Kluyveromyces lactis: one gene and its partners. The protein of the gene in region 1 interacts with the protein of each later gene in a pairwise test. Links are inferred from orthologs where the notes say so. Each region holds a gene or a part of one and is shown in the gene's direction. Other genes may lie near its edges.

Region 1 (4,212 bases):
TATTTTGGCAGTTGGTAATTATATGAATGATTCTTCAAAGCAAGCTCAGGGGTTCAAGCTAAGCACCCTACAAAGATTGACCTTCATTAAAGATGAAAAGAACAGTATGACTTTTTTGAACTATGTGGAAAAGATAATTCGTGAAAATTATCCCGAATACAGCCATTTCGTGGAAGAGCTTGAGCCTATTTTTAGCGTAACAAAAATATCCATCGAACAGTTGGTAACTGATTGTAAGGAATTTTCACAGTCAGTAATTAACGTTGAGCGTTCTATTGAAATTGGAAACCTAAGTGACCCTTCTAAATTCCATCCGTTAGATCGTGTTTTAAATAAGGTAGTACCGGTTTTACCTGAAGCTAGAAAGAAAGCTGATCTTCTAAGCGATGAAATCAAATTAAGTTTGCTGGAATTTGAAAATCTAATGAAGAAATTTGGCGAAGATGCCAACGACAAGTTCTCTAAAAACTCTTTCTTCCAAAAGTTTGCAGATTTCATTACCGAATTCAAGAAAGCTAAAACTCATAATGTCAAACTGGAAGAAGAAGAACGTGCTTACGAAAGGAGAAAGAAAATGATTGAAGATCAACAACGGAAACAACAGGAGGCAGATAGTAAGGCAACAGCAAAAAATTTAAGCACTTCGCAAGAACCGTCTGATGATAGGGACGATATAGAGAAGCTTTTGGATAAATTGAAAAATGCAGCTCCTTCAAAAGGAGATCCATCTAGTACTCGTAAACGTGCATTGGCTAGAAAGAAATTACTAGATGGTAAATCCGGGGCATCAATTTTTGATAACATCACTGCTGATAGTACTATCGAAGCTTTCGTGGAACAAAATAGAACGCTTACCGAATCGCCTACTGCTAAAAAATCGGCCAGCCTTCCTGAAACTGAAAGCTTGTCGTCATCAAAACAAGACCCTGCAGATAGAGCAAGGAATTTATTACTAGAATTAAGAGGCCCTGACGAAAGAAAAGACGCTTCTCCATCCCCAATCAAAGCAAAGGACAAGCTTAGGGATCTGAAAAAAAAAGATTCTTCTGTGAAAGTAGACCAACCTAATAAACTACAATTTGTTGGAAGCCTAGAAGTTGGACCTCATCCTAAACCGTTATCGCCAACCCAAGATTTGATGGACACATCGAACTCATCGGAAGATGAGTTTATTGATGCTTAAAGACTACATAATACTCATTTCAGCATTTATTTAATAACTACAATATGTGTATACTTGCATAGACATAATTCGTATACCGAAATTGACATTTTCATTTTAAAACCGGGTAATGAATTTAGTTCCAATGTTTGATGAAATCAAGAATGTAATATATATCAACCAAATTACCAGAGGACTAATGAAATACATAAATACTCGCCTGTGTAATTTACTTCAATAAATGAATCACTGATTTTGCTAACAGAAAGTACTTGCTACAAGCAAAGCTGACGGTAGCCTTATTTTTAGAATGGCGGATCAAGAAGAGTCAAAGCGCATATCTTTGCAAGTGACATCTTTATCTACGCAATTAATCGAAAGCATTGATAAACAATCCCAATTAGAAGAACAGTTACTAGTGGCTAAGAAAACCATTTCCACTCAGCAGAATATTGCGAACTCATATAATGAATTGAAGCAGGAACTACAATCTTTGAAATTACAATACGAAACCGATAAGACAAAATTCAAGAAACAGGAAGAAATTTGTGCTGATGCCGAAAAGAAAGTGGCTACATTGAACCAAGAAATTGAAGACTTAACCGCTTCTTTATTCGATGAGGCTAATAACATGGTAGCAGATGCAAGGAAAGAACAAAATGCTGTAGAAATATTAAACTCGAAGCTCAAAGAGCAGTTGAAAGAAAAGGATTTATTACTTGATACATTGTCAATGCAGTTAAAGAATCTCAAAAACGTACTCTACAAGTTCGAAAATGATTTCAATTCTTCGAAGAACGTTTCACTTTCAGATTCTGCGACGTCCTCTACCACATCAATTGATAGATCAACCACCAACCTAACCTCAGTAAATGATAATTCATTGTCGTTTCAAGGCGTGTTATTTTCCCCTCTTCTGCATTCGTTAAGGTATGACGTTCCTCTATACACAGAATATTTGAAATTTCTTGCTGTGCTACCACAATGCGAAAACCTTCAACAAACCACTTCGGAATCGAAACTATTAAGGAGATTAATAAACTATGAAATAAGTCCCGTCTTGCGACTTGATAATGCCTCCGGAGTAGGATGGCTTGTAAAAAGAAATTTAATGAATTTAATGATGGAAGGACTGGTATCAATCGAGCCGATTAGTGGAATAAATGAAACATATCGTACAGGATATAGTTCTCCAAGTATTCCCGACTCTCCAGAGGTCGAAAACAAAGATTCTCATTTGTTTAGCCGTCCGGTGAATTCTCCGCCTGTTGCTATGGTAGAACCATGTGCTTTCTGTGGTGAAAATAGAAACGACATCCTTGAACATGGAAGACTTTATATCTTCAAAACATATCAAAAGCTCGAAAATGGTAAAAATGAGTTAACAAATCAATTTCCCGTGTGCCATTACTGCTTGTTGAAATTAAGACAAGTTTGTGAAATTTTCGCATTTTTGAGATCATTGAGATCTGGTGCTTGGCATCTAGAAAAAGTAGCTTTGGCATCAATACATCAAGGCAAGGTCAATGCTTACTCCGAGGTAACTAAAGCATCAAGGCCGAAAATGAAATCCAAAAGATTAAGTATTTTCCAAGGATTAAAGCAATCGCAATCTTCAACTCCTATCATAGAAAATGGTCCACAATTTGCCGACAAAAACGGACTACCAACAACCAATATCCAGAGGTCATGGGCCCGTCTTTCACAACTACGAGCATCTTTACAATGGTCGCATATTGGCGTATGGTCTCTCGACGAATCGGTAGCTACAGATATTGCCCCATCAACAGATATTTCCAAAGCTAAAAGTTTTGAAGAAGAACAAGGTCTAGGCATTGCCTCAAACAATATCCCTGTCCCTATAACACATGAGGAGGATGAAACTTTCGATTTTGAAGCGGATACCGCAAACTCTATCAGTGTGGATGAAACAGTCAATGGTATACGTCACACAGATCAATCATCGGATGATATTGGCGATCATAATGAGAAAACTAATGAGAAGACTGCCACGGATTTACAAGGAAAGAATGAAGAGAAAAAAAGCAAAAAAATTGAACCACAGCATTCAAGACAGCCCTCACAATCATCCACAGTATTAAATGATAACAAAGAAAGTGCCGAATCAGCTCATGATACCCATGCATCATCTGAAGAGCCAAGTGATTTATTGGAAACTTATCAAGATCTGTCCGCTGATCTTGAACCCGAATCTGAAAAGCCTGAAAATTTGGATAATTCTGATGAAGAGGATAGTTTTAACGATGCAAAGGATGTCGTCAACTAGTGTCATGCACAATCTTTCCTCCTACCTTGCATACTTTGTAACAATAAATACCTGATGTAGAGAGTTTCATTTCAATGCACGTGATTTGTCAAATTTCGTCATCCTTATCATACCCAAAAGACTAAGCACCAAATTTATATATTGCAAGTATTTCTTCTTGCCTTAGATAAAACAATATGGCTGTAAGAAGGTTGTAGTAGCAAACGGAGCGCACGATAGTTGAACCGCTTATGGCCTACTTTGTGAATTATAATTAATACAGATGCAGATAGCCGCTGATAAAAAGTATGCAAAACTAGCTCTGTCTGATAAACAATCGAAGAATGAACCAAATCCGTTTGAACTGGAGTTAACGTCATTTGATGACACCGCGAAGACAGCTGACAGCGCAGTTGACCAAAACATTTTTAATGTTAATGAAGAAGACCCATTAACAGATGACATCTATTTATCTAATGAGGCAAAATCTAACAGGTACATGGCTTTCATGAACATGGCGAATAGTATTTTAGGATCAGGAGTGATAGGGCAACCTTTTGCGATGAAAAATTGCGGAATCATCGGCGGATTATTTGCGACCATATTAATGTCCATACTGGTTGATTGGACCATTCGTCTGATTGTGATCAATTTGAAATTAACCGGTAAGAGTACTTATCAAGCATCTGTAGAAACAGCAATGGGTCAATGGGGAGGACTTTTGATTTTAGTATCCAACGGCCTATTTGCATTTGGTGGTTGCGTTGGGTTTTGCATTATCATT
Region 2 (4,580 bases), about 930 kb from region 1:
TTCAAAATCAACCAGAAGAGCGAGAGAGAGAGAGAGAGAGCGTAATATCCGTGGTCGCTGGTTAATATTATTTTTTTAATACAAGGGGAATGATACAATGCGTGAGGTGGGGGAACACTATTTCTATAATCTATATCTCTTTCTCTCCGTGTATAAGTCAGTGTCACTCCAATATTCAAAAGACTTTCATACTATTTTCGTCAACACTAAACGGTTTTTCCTCAAAAAAAAAGTAGTATACCTTCTGAAAATCTTTCAGTGAAGTAACCTTGTTGAGCAGAGTTACTGAATAAGTAAAAGTTTGTTGATATCTACCTTGAGATCGAAGTAAAGACAGTGAGAGTTTATGAGACAACTGTAAACAGGAAGCAGTTACTCTGGCTTTAAATTTTGAATTTACACATTAAACCTTTTGTGAAAACACTGAAAAAGAAATTAAATTTCACACACCCACCTAACTTTAAGCTATGTAAACTGTGTACCGAGAAAACTACGGAGGGAAATTCTCAGGTGATAGGAAGGAACGGAGATAGAGCAACAAGGTAATCTATGCAAGGAGCAATAGCTCTTACTTACACAGATGATCAAATTGTGTTTTACTAGCCGCAATATCGTAGCCGTTTTATCCTGCTAATAGAATTGTGTCTCTGCTGCTCTTTTCCCGTACCAACCCGTATTTACCCTCACTATGTTTCTTTTTCATTTTTCCTTTCCAGTTTTTTGTAAAAAAAAGAAAAGCACAGGAAAATGGAAAAGAAACATGGAAAAGGAAACTTTAATCCGTATTTCACGAAACAGTAAGAGCAAACTGGTAGGAGACAAGAAAGTTTTTTTGATATGCATAGGTCAGTCGGGAGATATTTATCGCACCTCCTGTTCTTGTCCTCGATAATTTGCGATGGGGTCTTGTCGATTCCCTAGTTTACGCTATCTATCAGATTTTCATCTCTGAAGATTAGATTACAAGCTCCTTATCTTGAAGGAAGAAAAAGACTTGGCAAACGCAGGTAACGACCTCAAGCAAAACACAATAATCAAACGGCGATCGGCAACCGGCGGTCGGCATTAGTACTGAAAGATCAGGTATAGGGAGAGCATCGGATGAGTGTTTACTTGCTGTGCTGGATTTTCAAACTGTCACTAGTGTGCTGTTTTTTCTCTTTACGATATGTATAATCATTCTTTAGATCAGCGAGCTTTTCTATCTGTGTGAGAGCATCTACGCGGTAACACTCCAGCAATAAAATGCGGGGTTGCTTACTGACTCGAGAAATGAGAATGTAGGCACTAATACTGATGGATAAATAAACATTTTTCCGCGGGTGATCGCAGAAACCGGAGGAAAGCAAGAAAAGAAAAAAGCGAACAACACGAGGGAACACAAATCACGTGCTTCGTATCACGTGCAGTTTGTACTGTGGCTGATGTAATGTCTGTATCCGGGTAATTTTCTTGTCCGGGTAATAGACGTTCCACAGTTTGGTGATTACTTTTTTCTTCTTCTTTTCCCTTTCCTCATTTTTTTCCCGACTTTTGATGAAATTGCACGAGACCTGAGCTGAAGAATAATACAAACTAAAGTATTTTCAATCATCGTCTACTGTTGATATCAACAGCATCGAGTGAAAGGCCACATTCAAATTTGAGCCTTAGTTCCAGGGAATAACGACAGTGAATCTTTATTTATCGAGCCGGCTTCTCTCATTCTTTCCGCTATGAATAGTGGAACTTCCAATAATCTTAAGCGCACTGGTAGCAGCAGTAGCGGTGTTGGTGCAAGGAATATGGATAATCATATTCGAAATCCTAATGATAGTCATCCCAGTCAAGGTATGGACAACATTTGGGGGAACAGTCCGGAATTCTCGACACATTCTCCATCTACCGCATCGAATCACTTACATTCGTTGATTAACCCCCCTGCTGATGTGAATAATGATGTTACCCCTAGCATTCTTTTGGAACAACTAGCGTTTGTTGATAATTTTATTACTGATTTTAACTCTGACTTTGGACCCAATGTGACAAATTCTTTTTACAACAATGAGGGACCTCATGGTGACACTGTAAATTCATTTAGTGGGATGCCCTTGAATCATCAAGTTGGTGGTTTAAGTGCAGATAATCAGCTCGCGATGGATGAACGTTTAGCGGCGGAATTGAGTGTTTTCGCAGATGAGACTTTTATTTTCCCAGATGAAGACAAAGCTGATAGACATGATAGCGATGACAACGGCGACCATTACAACAGCAACCATAACTTCGGATTGAACAACAATGCTAATCCTAGTACTAATGATAATAACATCGACAATAACAATAATAATAACAGTGGTAACAATCATAATAGTAATAATAACAATAATAATAATAATAATAATAATAATAATAATAATAACAGAAACTCTTCGGAAAAGAGAAACTTGTTCGATAGAAAATCAAACCTGCTGGGAAACCAGTATGATCATACGCGGCAACGGTTTTCGAGGAAAAGGTCATCGACACAGAATTCTCCGATCCCCGATCATGGAGGATTTACACACTTTGATGTTCAAGACCAATCCAATAGTCATAATACAGGCAACCTAAATGGCACAAGTGCAAACCGCCAACGAGATATGCCGTTTGCCACTTCCCCACTAACAAATTTATTAGCCGCATATGATTTAACTTCAATGTCATATCCGTCCAATACCACTGTATCGTCTGCCTCTTCAATCGTCAACACAGCTAGTAACCATGGTAATAATCATGTCAATAGCAACGAAAATCCGTATCGTCCAAGTACGGCTGCAACATCAGGATTTGAATCAAATATACAGATGCCAGACTACTCTACAATACAAACTGCGACTTTGGTATCATTGTTGCCTATCATTAATGTTCCCAGAGGTGCTTACCAGTCTTTGCGTAATGTTGGCTTTAAACCAGAACAGATTGACGCCATAGCTGCTATTATGGCTTATTATGAAAGAGAAAGAGAAAAGTTTGATCCTCCTGTGAGGAAGCCAACTAATTTAAATAATCACTCTACAAATAGACCACCATCGTCAGCTTCCCATCTGGGCTCATCGATAGATGTGAATTCGCAAAATCAACTGGTTCCTGAACCTCAAGAACATATTCAAAGCTCCGTTGGCATGCTATTGGATTTTTTGCATGAAAAACCTGAGCCATCTCCTCAATCAAGTGTCCATAAACCTAATCCAAAAAGAGCCAAAAAAACTCCAGTGGAAAAAGAGTCTAGAGTTATTGATACATATATGAAAAACTCACCGAAAGTGCACCACGGCTCAATTTCTAACAACATAAAGAAAGAAAGCGAAGAGAATTCTGCAAAGCAAACACTGGATGATGGTATCAGTAAAACACCAAAATCAGTTGTCAGGAAACTAGAATCAGCTTCCTCTCTTAGGAAGGATGTAACGTCTGCTAAATTGAAGGAAGAGGTGAGACAATCGGAAGAACTTCTCAATGACAAGGAAAATGCTGCTAAGAGTCTCGATGAGAAGATAAACGAAAAAAAGCATAATACTGATTCTGATAAAAACAATTCCTCCAGTGATGGTGTAGAATCGTCGTCCACTTCCTCAACCCTTTCTTCAAGACCCAAACTGCCGAACTTGGATCAAACTAAAAAACTTAAAGAGAAAGAAATGGAAACTTGGGTCCAAGATCTTTCACAGTTAGCTTGTGACTTGAAGCAAAGAATCAATACCCTTGAAATGGAAAACAGACTTCTCAAAAATCTTGTCATTGAACGTGGAGATCTCAAGAATGTTGAGTCTTATGAACTATCCAAAAATAACTCCTCCGAAAGCACTAAAAAGGATACTGACAAGTAAGCTATGATTAATAATTAGTTGTAACCTCTAAGTCGGACATATTTACCTGATGATGCGTGTTCTCTAAAACGTAACGTAACTTTCATCCAAGTATAAGGCCAGAGATAAATTTTGTATTAATATATAGTTACATTCCTCGTAGAATCTAACCCTATGATAGAATCGCGATAAGAGTTATTAGAGTGATAACAACAATAGCTACTAGAAGTATTGTACCACATCTGTTCTTTTTCCTTTGATATTCATTTGCTTTGTGAAGTTCTTTGTTCGCCTTTTGCAAATTATTAGATAATCCTGTCACATTTTCGCCAATTGTGTCAACTTGTTCGCCCTGTTCCTGTACCAGACTTCCTAGTTGTTTGAAGATGGCATTGACCTCTTGCACAGCAGAGTGGATTTTTGATATGTCCTGGGATCTTTCATGTTGAATTATCGTGTGAAAATCTAACTCATCCTGATTCAACAAAGGCTCTTGCTGTTGGGTAGACAAAAGTAACGGAGTATCCTCTGAAGAATGATCCCTCCTCTCGATATCGTCTTGTATTGGCATGCTTTCATATTGCGATACGAGATGTTCCGATTCATTATCTTTACTCTCTTCGTCAGGTATGGGATTCTGTACTGCCCTATTCTCATAATCGGTCTTTACACTGTTATATTGTTTGCTTAACGCTTGAAAATCTCGAGCAAATTTATCTTGTGTATCTAGCGAAGTTAAGTCAGCCAGTTTTCGAC
Region 3 (4,649 bases), about 1.3 Mb from region 1:
GTAAGGTTTATTGAGGAGATACTGAAGCGAGGAAACCAAAAATGAGACGATCAAGAGGTGAATCTGTAGAACATGATTTAAAGTTTTTGCTTAACGCTGGTGAGAATTCAAATAAATGTGGTGAATGTGGGACACCATTCCCTACCTACTGTTCAGTGAACTTGGGTGTATTCTTGTGCGGTCGGTGTGCTTCCGTACATAGGAAAGTGTTAGGCAGCAGAGAAGATGGTGCTACTAGTATCGTGAAATCTTTATCTCTTGATAGATGGTCTAAGCGTGACGTTCAAACTGTTGCCGATCTTGGAGGAAACAAACATAACAGCAGTTTTTGGAACCCTAAGAAAGAACCTTTCCCATTTGACGGTGACGAGGATCGTACTGCCGTTGAAATGTTTATCAGGGATAAATATTTAAAGGGTAAGTTCAGACATACCGCTGTCAAGGTGGAAGATTTCAATCTAGAGGATGATTCGTCACAATTGGACTACAAGTCATCCCGCCCATCATCTGCGTCCGGGTCCAGAAGAAACCGTTCTGCCTCATCTGCCAGCAGTAGACCAAGATCAAGAGAAGGAGACAGACCTCCGCTTCCAAAAAGGCCGGACAACAAAGTGCAAGAAGCCGTTTTCGATGGAACAAGTGAACCAAGCCTACCTAGTACAGCATCGGCAGAACCTCGCCCAGCAGTATTCGATGGGGTACAACAATACTATGATCCAACTACCGGCCAAATTTATGTAGATCAAAACTCCTATGCGGCAATGCAGCAGGCCCAGGTACAAGCATTGGCACAACAAGTTCAACCTCAGTTTACACAACAGGTTCAACCTCAGTTTACACAACAAGTGCAACCCCAATTCACACAGCAATTACAACCTCAGTTCACCCAACAGGTACAGCCTCAATTCACTGCTCAACCATCGATAGATAAGAACACACTATTATCACTGTATCAAAGACCAGATTTATATTCTAGTGCCGTAGAAATCAAACCGGATAATCCACAATACCAACAGATCCTGAATCTCCAAAAACAACAGCAGGACCAACAACAGCAGCAACAGCAACTGCTACAACAACAGCAGCTACAACAGCAGCAACAGCAACAGCTCCTGCAGCAACAACAGTTACAACAAATGCAATACCAACAACCACAACAGTACCAACAACAATTCTACCCCCCATTCCAATAGATCATCATCCCTTGGCCTTCTTTGCAGCTGCAGCTGCAACTGCACATCTGCTACCGCACTACGGTTTAATCTCTCATACCTATGTTTGCCTATATAATACGTAAATATGGCTAAAACCAAAACACCGCTACAACTAATATCTAACTTTGTCTTCCTCCTCTGACGTTTCACAACGTCTGCTATACACTCTTATCCGGAACATCCACGATCTACTTACTACCTAGCTATCACCACTATTATCTTACTGACCATCAAAAAAAAAACCTCCCATTGACTCATAACCAATCATATCTTATTTGCACTTAACGAGCGTTTTCTTAAAACCGTTCCACCAAGCACCAGTGTCTTTCCACTGCCTTTACTGTGTACGTTTTCTGCGATATATCTGTCTTTCCTTCTTTGTTTCTTTATTTCTATATAAAGTTCAAAATGACTTATTACAAACTAAGTTTTGATCCTTAAAAACCATTTATAAGAAATAAGAACGCCCCCCCTTGTAAAGAAAGAGGCCAAAGAATGACAACGGTCTGGCACTGAGTAGTCATATGGAAAGCGGTTGAGCATGAGTTCAGAATCGCACGACAAAGTTGTGGCGAAAGCCATTCGTTTGCCGACAGAAAACTATTCCGTGGAGAAGGAGATCGGTAAGGGTTCATTCGCGGTTGTTTACAAAGGTCTATCGTTAAGAGATGGGAGAAACATAGCTATCAAGGCCGTGTCGAGGTCGAAGCTAAAGAACAAGAAGCTTTTGGAGAATTTGGAGGTCGAAATTGCCATTTTAAAGAAGATCAAACATCCGCATATTGTGGGGTTAATAGATTGTGAGCGGACTTCATCTGATTTCTATTTGATCATGGAATACTGTGCACTAGGTGATTTAACGTTTTTCATAAAGAAGAGGAAGAACCTAGTGCTCAAGCATCCTTTGATAAAGACTGTTTTTGAACATTACCCGCCACCAAGTACGGAACATAATGGATTAAATCGGGTTCTTGTGGTAAACTATTTACAACAACTATCCTCTGCGCTTAAGTTTTTGCGATCTAAGAATCTAGTACACAGAGATATCAAGCCACAGAATTTATTGTTATGCACACCGTTATTAGATTATAATGATCCGAAGACGTTTCATGAGTTGGGGTTTGTGGGAATCTACAATTTACCCATCTTGAAAATCGCGGATTTTGGGTTCGCTAGATTCTTGCCTAATACTTCTCTAGCAGAAACTTTATGCGGGTCACCATTGTACATGGCTCCAGAAATATTAAACTATCAAAAATACAATGCCAAGGCTGATCTTTGGTCAGTAGGAACGGTGCTATACGAAATGTGTTGCGGGAGACCGCCTTTTAAAGCATCAAACCATCTCGAGTTGTTTCAAAAGATTAAAAAGGCCAACGATGAGATTACAGTGCCCTCAAATTGCTATATTGAACCGAAACTGTTCAATCTAATAAGAGGGTTGCTAACTTTTGACCCGGATTCCCGTATGGGGTTCACTGATTTTTTCAATAACGAAGTAGTGACAGAAGATTTGACAAGGTACGAGCAATCGTATGAGCCAGACTTAGAATCCAAGAGTAAAGATGTCGCTGAAAGTAATATGTTTGTTTCAGAATATCTAGTCAAACCATTAAAGCAGCAGGAATCTGCACATATACCACCAACTCAAACTGACGAGAACACTAGTGTACAAACTGGCGTTAGGCGAACCTCAGGTAAAGAGAGGCTCGCAACAAACCATCCACCACATCAACAGATCCACCCAGAAGATAACTCTCAAAACCCAGAACAAAGCTACCAATCTGCAAGTCAGAAGAGGCTAAAGAGCTCTTACAATGATTTGATTTTGGAGAAGGAGTATGTTGTTGTGGAGAAGAAAACTGTCGAAGTAAATTCTTTGGCTGATGATTTTGCTAATAATGGACCCATAACAAACAACCAAGGGGCACAAGTTATAAAACCCTTGAGATACAGAACGTCTTCTTCTAGCGATGCATCAGGAGGAAGAAGAGCCTCTTTAGTGGAGAGAAGGCTTTCGATATCGTCATTAAGCCCGTCGAATGCGTTATCGAAGGCACTAGGGTTAGCTTCTGTAAGGCTTTTCGGATATCAACATAATACAAAGGCTACTTCTTCGCCACCTCAACAAACACTACTGAATCCTCAGATATTTCAGGAGCTAACGGAAAATGCAGTATTGAGGGCTGATCATAAACTAAATCCTTTCAGCGAACAAATGTTGGATTCCAACATAACTCCTGCAGTGGAATCGCTTGCGGCCAAAGCATTTGTCATGTATTCGTTCGCTGAAATGAAATTCTCTCAAATTCTTCCAACTCCTCCTTCTTCAACCGACTATGACCCACTGTCAGATAAACGTCTAAGTAACGGAAGTTGCGCGATAGAGGATGAAGAAGATTTGGATCAAGGCCGCCCACCTTCTAATCAAACTTTGACCTCAGCAACAACAAAGATTTCATCAGCCACCAATGTTGACACTCAAATACCGGCCCCCGAGTTGAAAAAGTTGTGCACCGAATCTTTACTTCTTTATCTAAAAGCTCTTACTATTTTAGCTGCTTCAATGAAATTAACATCAAAATGGTGGTATGAAAATGAAAGTAAAAACTGCACTTTGAAGCTAAACATTTTGGTGCAGTGGATTAGAGATCGCTTTAACGAATGCTTAGACAAGGCTGAATTTTTGCGTTTAAAGCTCCATGCTATTAATACATCACCAAATTCCCAATGGTCAGATGATGACCCTGTAATTTTTGTTGAAAAGTTAATATACGATCGTGCTTTAGATATATCTAGAAATGCTGCAAGAATGGAAATGGAAAGTGGGAATTACAATACTTGTGAACTAGCCTATGCTACTTCATTATGGATGTTAGAAATTTTGCTGGACGAAAATTTTCAATTCAACGAAGTCTATGATGACGAGTATGCATCAAATATCACCTCCTTAGACGAATCAGATAAGGAAATGATAAAGAAATACATTTCAAGTATTGCTAATAGGTTAAAGGCACTAAAATCCAAAATGGTTTAGGATTGATCATCTTTTGGATTGGGTTTTTTACAATTTACATTTTATATAATGATTATATATATATGGATTAGGGTTTTTTCCATTAAACACTTACTACTTTTTTTTTGAAACGATACCGATATCGTTTAGTAGTAAAATAAGATTATATCTATGAATAGAATGACTTATTATAATAAATTAAATACCAAATTAAAAATTTCCAAACTTCAAATACGAAACAAAACGGGAGATGCAAATATAAAGCGTTTCAACTTTTGACAAAATAACTCAAATGTCGCTCAAAGGACCTCTATAGTACTATTGGAGCCTTGGTTTGTACGTTGTTGTTCTTCCTGAATCCTCCGTTGATTCTCTTCTTCCTTCTTCTTTTGTTCTTTTTCTGCCTTTCTGCGTTTTTC

The links.
Region 2: the proteins of SEC2 (region 1) and MET4 interact in a two-hybrid assay, tested with the Saccharomyces cerevisiae proteins (2 studies listed by BioGRID). The link is inferred for Kluyveromyces lactis from reciprocal best matches to the Saccharomyces cerevisiae genes SEC2 and MET4.
Region 3: the proteins of SEC2 (region 1) and ATG1 interact in a two-hybrid assay, tested with the Saccharomyces cerevisiae proteins (2 studies listed by BioGRID). The link is inferred for Kluyveromyces lactis from reciprocal best matches to the Saccharomyces cerevisiae genes SEC2 and ATG1.

Annotation. Positions count from the first base shown.
Region 1 is NC_006039.1:193,504-197,715, reverse strand, and holds SEC2 (guanine nucleotide exchange factor SEC2), read left to right. Parts: upstream 1-1,472; coding exon 1,473-3,449; downstream 3,450-4,212. Other genes in the region: formin BNI1, read left to right, coding at 1-1,183; AVT2 (Avt2p), read left to right, coding at 3,712-4,212. UniProt on the Saccharomyces cerevisiae protein: Guanine nucleotide exchange factor for SEC4, catalyzing the dissociation of GDP from SEC4 and also potently promoting binding of GTP. Activation of SEC4 by SEC2 is needed for the directed transport of vesicles to sites of exocytosis.
Region 2 is NC_006039.1:1,125,024-1,129,603, forward strand, and holds MET4 (Met4p), read left to right. Parts: upstream 1-1,715; coding exon 1,716-3,845; downstream 3,846-4,580. Other genes in the region: SNAP receptor VAM3, read right to left, coding at 3,997-4,580. UniProt on the Saccharomyces cerevisiae protein: Positive trans-acting factor capable of stimulating the transcription of the MET genes from the methionine biosynthetic pathway. MET4, MET28 and CBF1 are required for full induction of MET25 and MET16 gene transcription.
Region 3 is NC_006039.1:1,497,204-1,501,852, forward strand, and holds ATG1 (serine/threonine protein kinase ATG1), read left to right. Parts: upstream 1-1,755; coding exon 1,756-4,251; downstream 4,252-4,649. Other genes in the region: GTS1 (Gts1p), read left to right, coding at 42-1,193; KLLA0_C17182g (uncharacterized protein), read right to left, coding at 4,530-4,649. UniProt on the Saccharomyces cerevisiae protein: Serine/threonine protein kinase involved in the cytoplasm to vacuole transport (Cvt) and found to be essential in autophagy, where it is required for the formation of autophagosomes.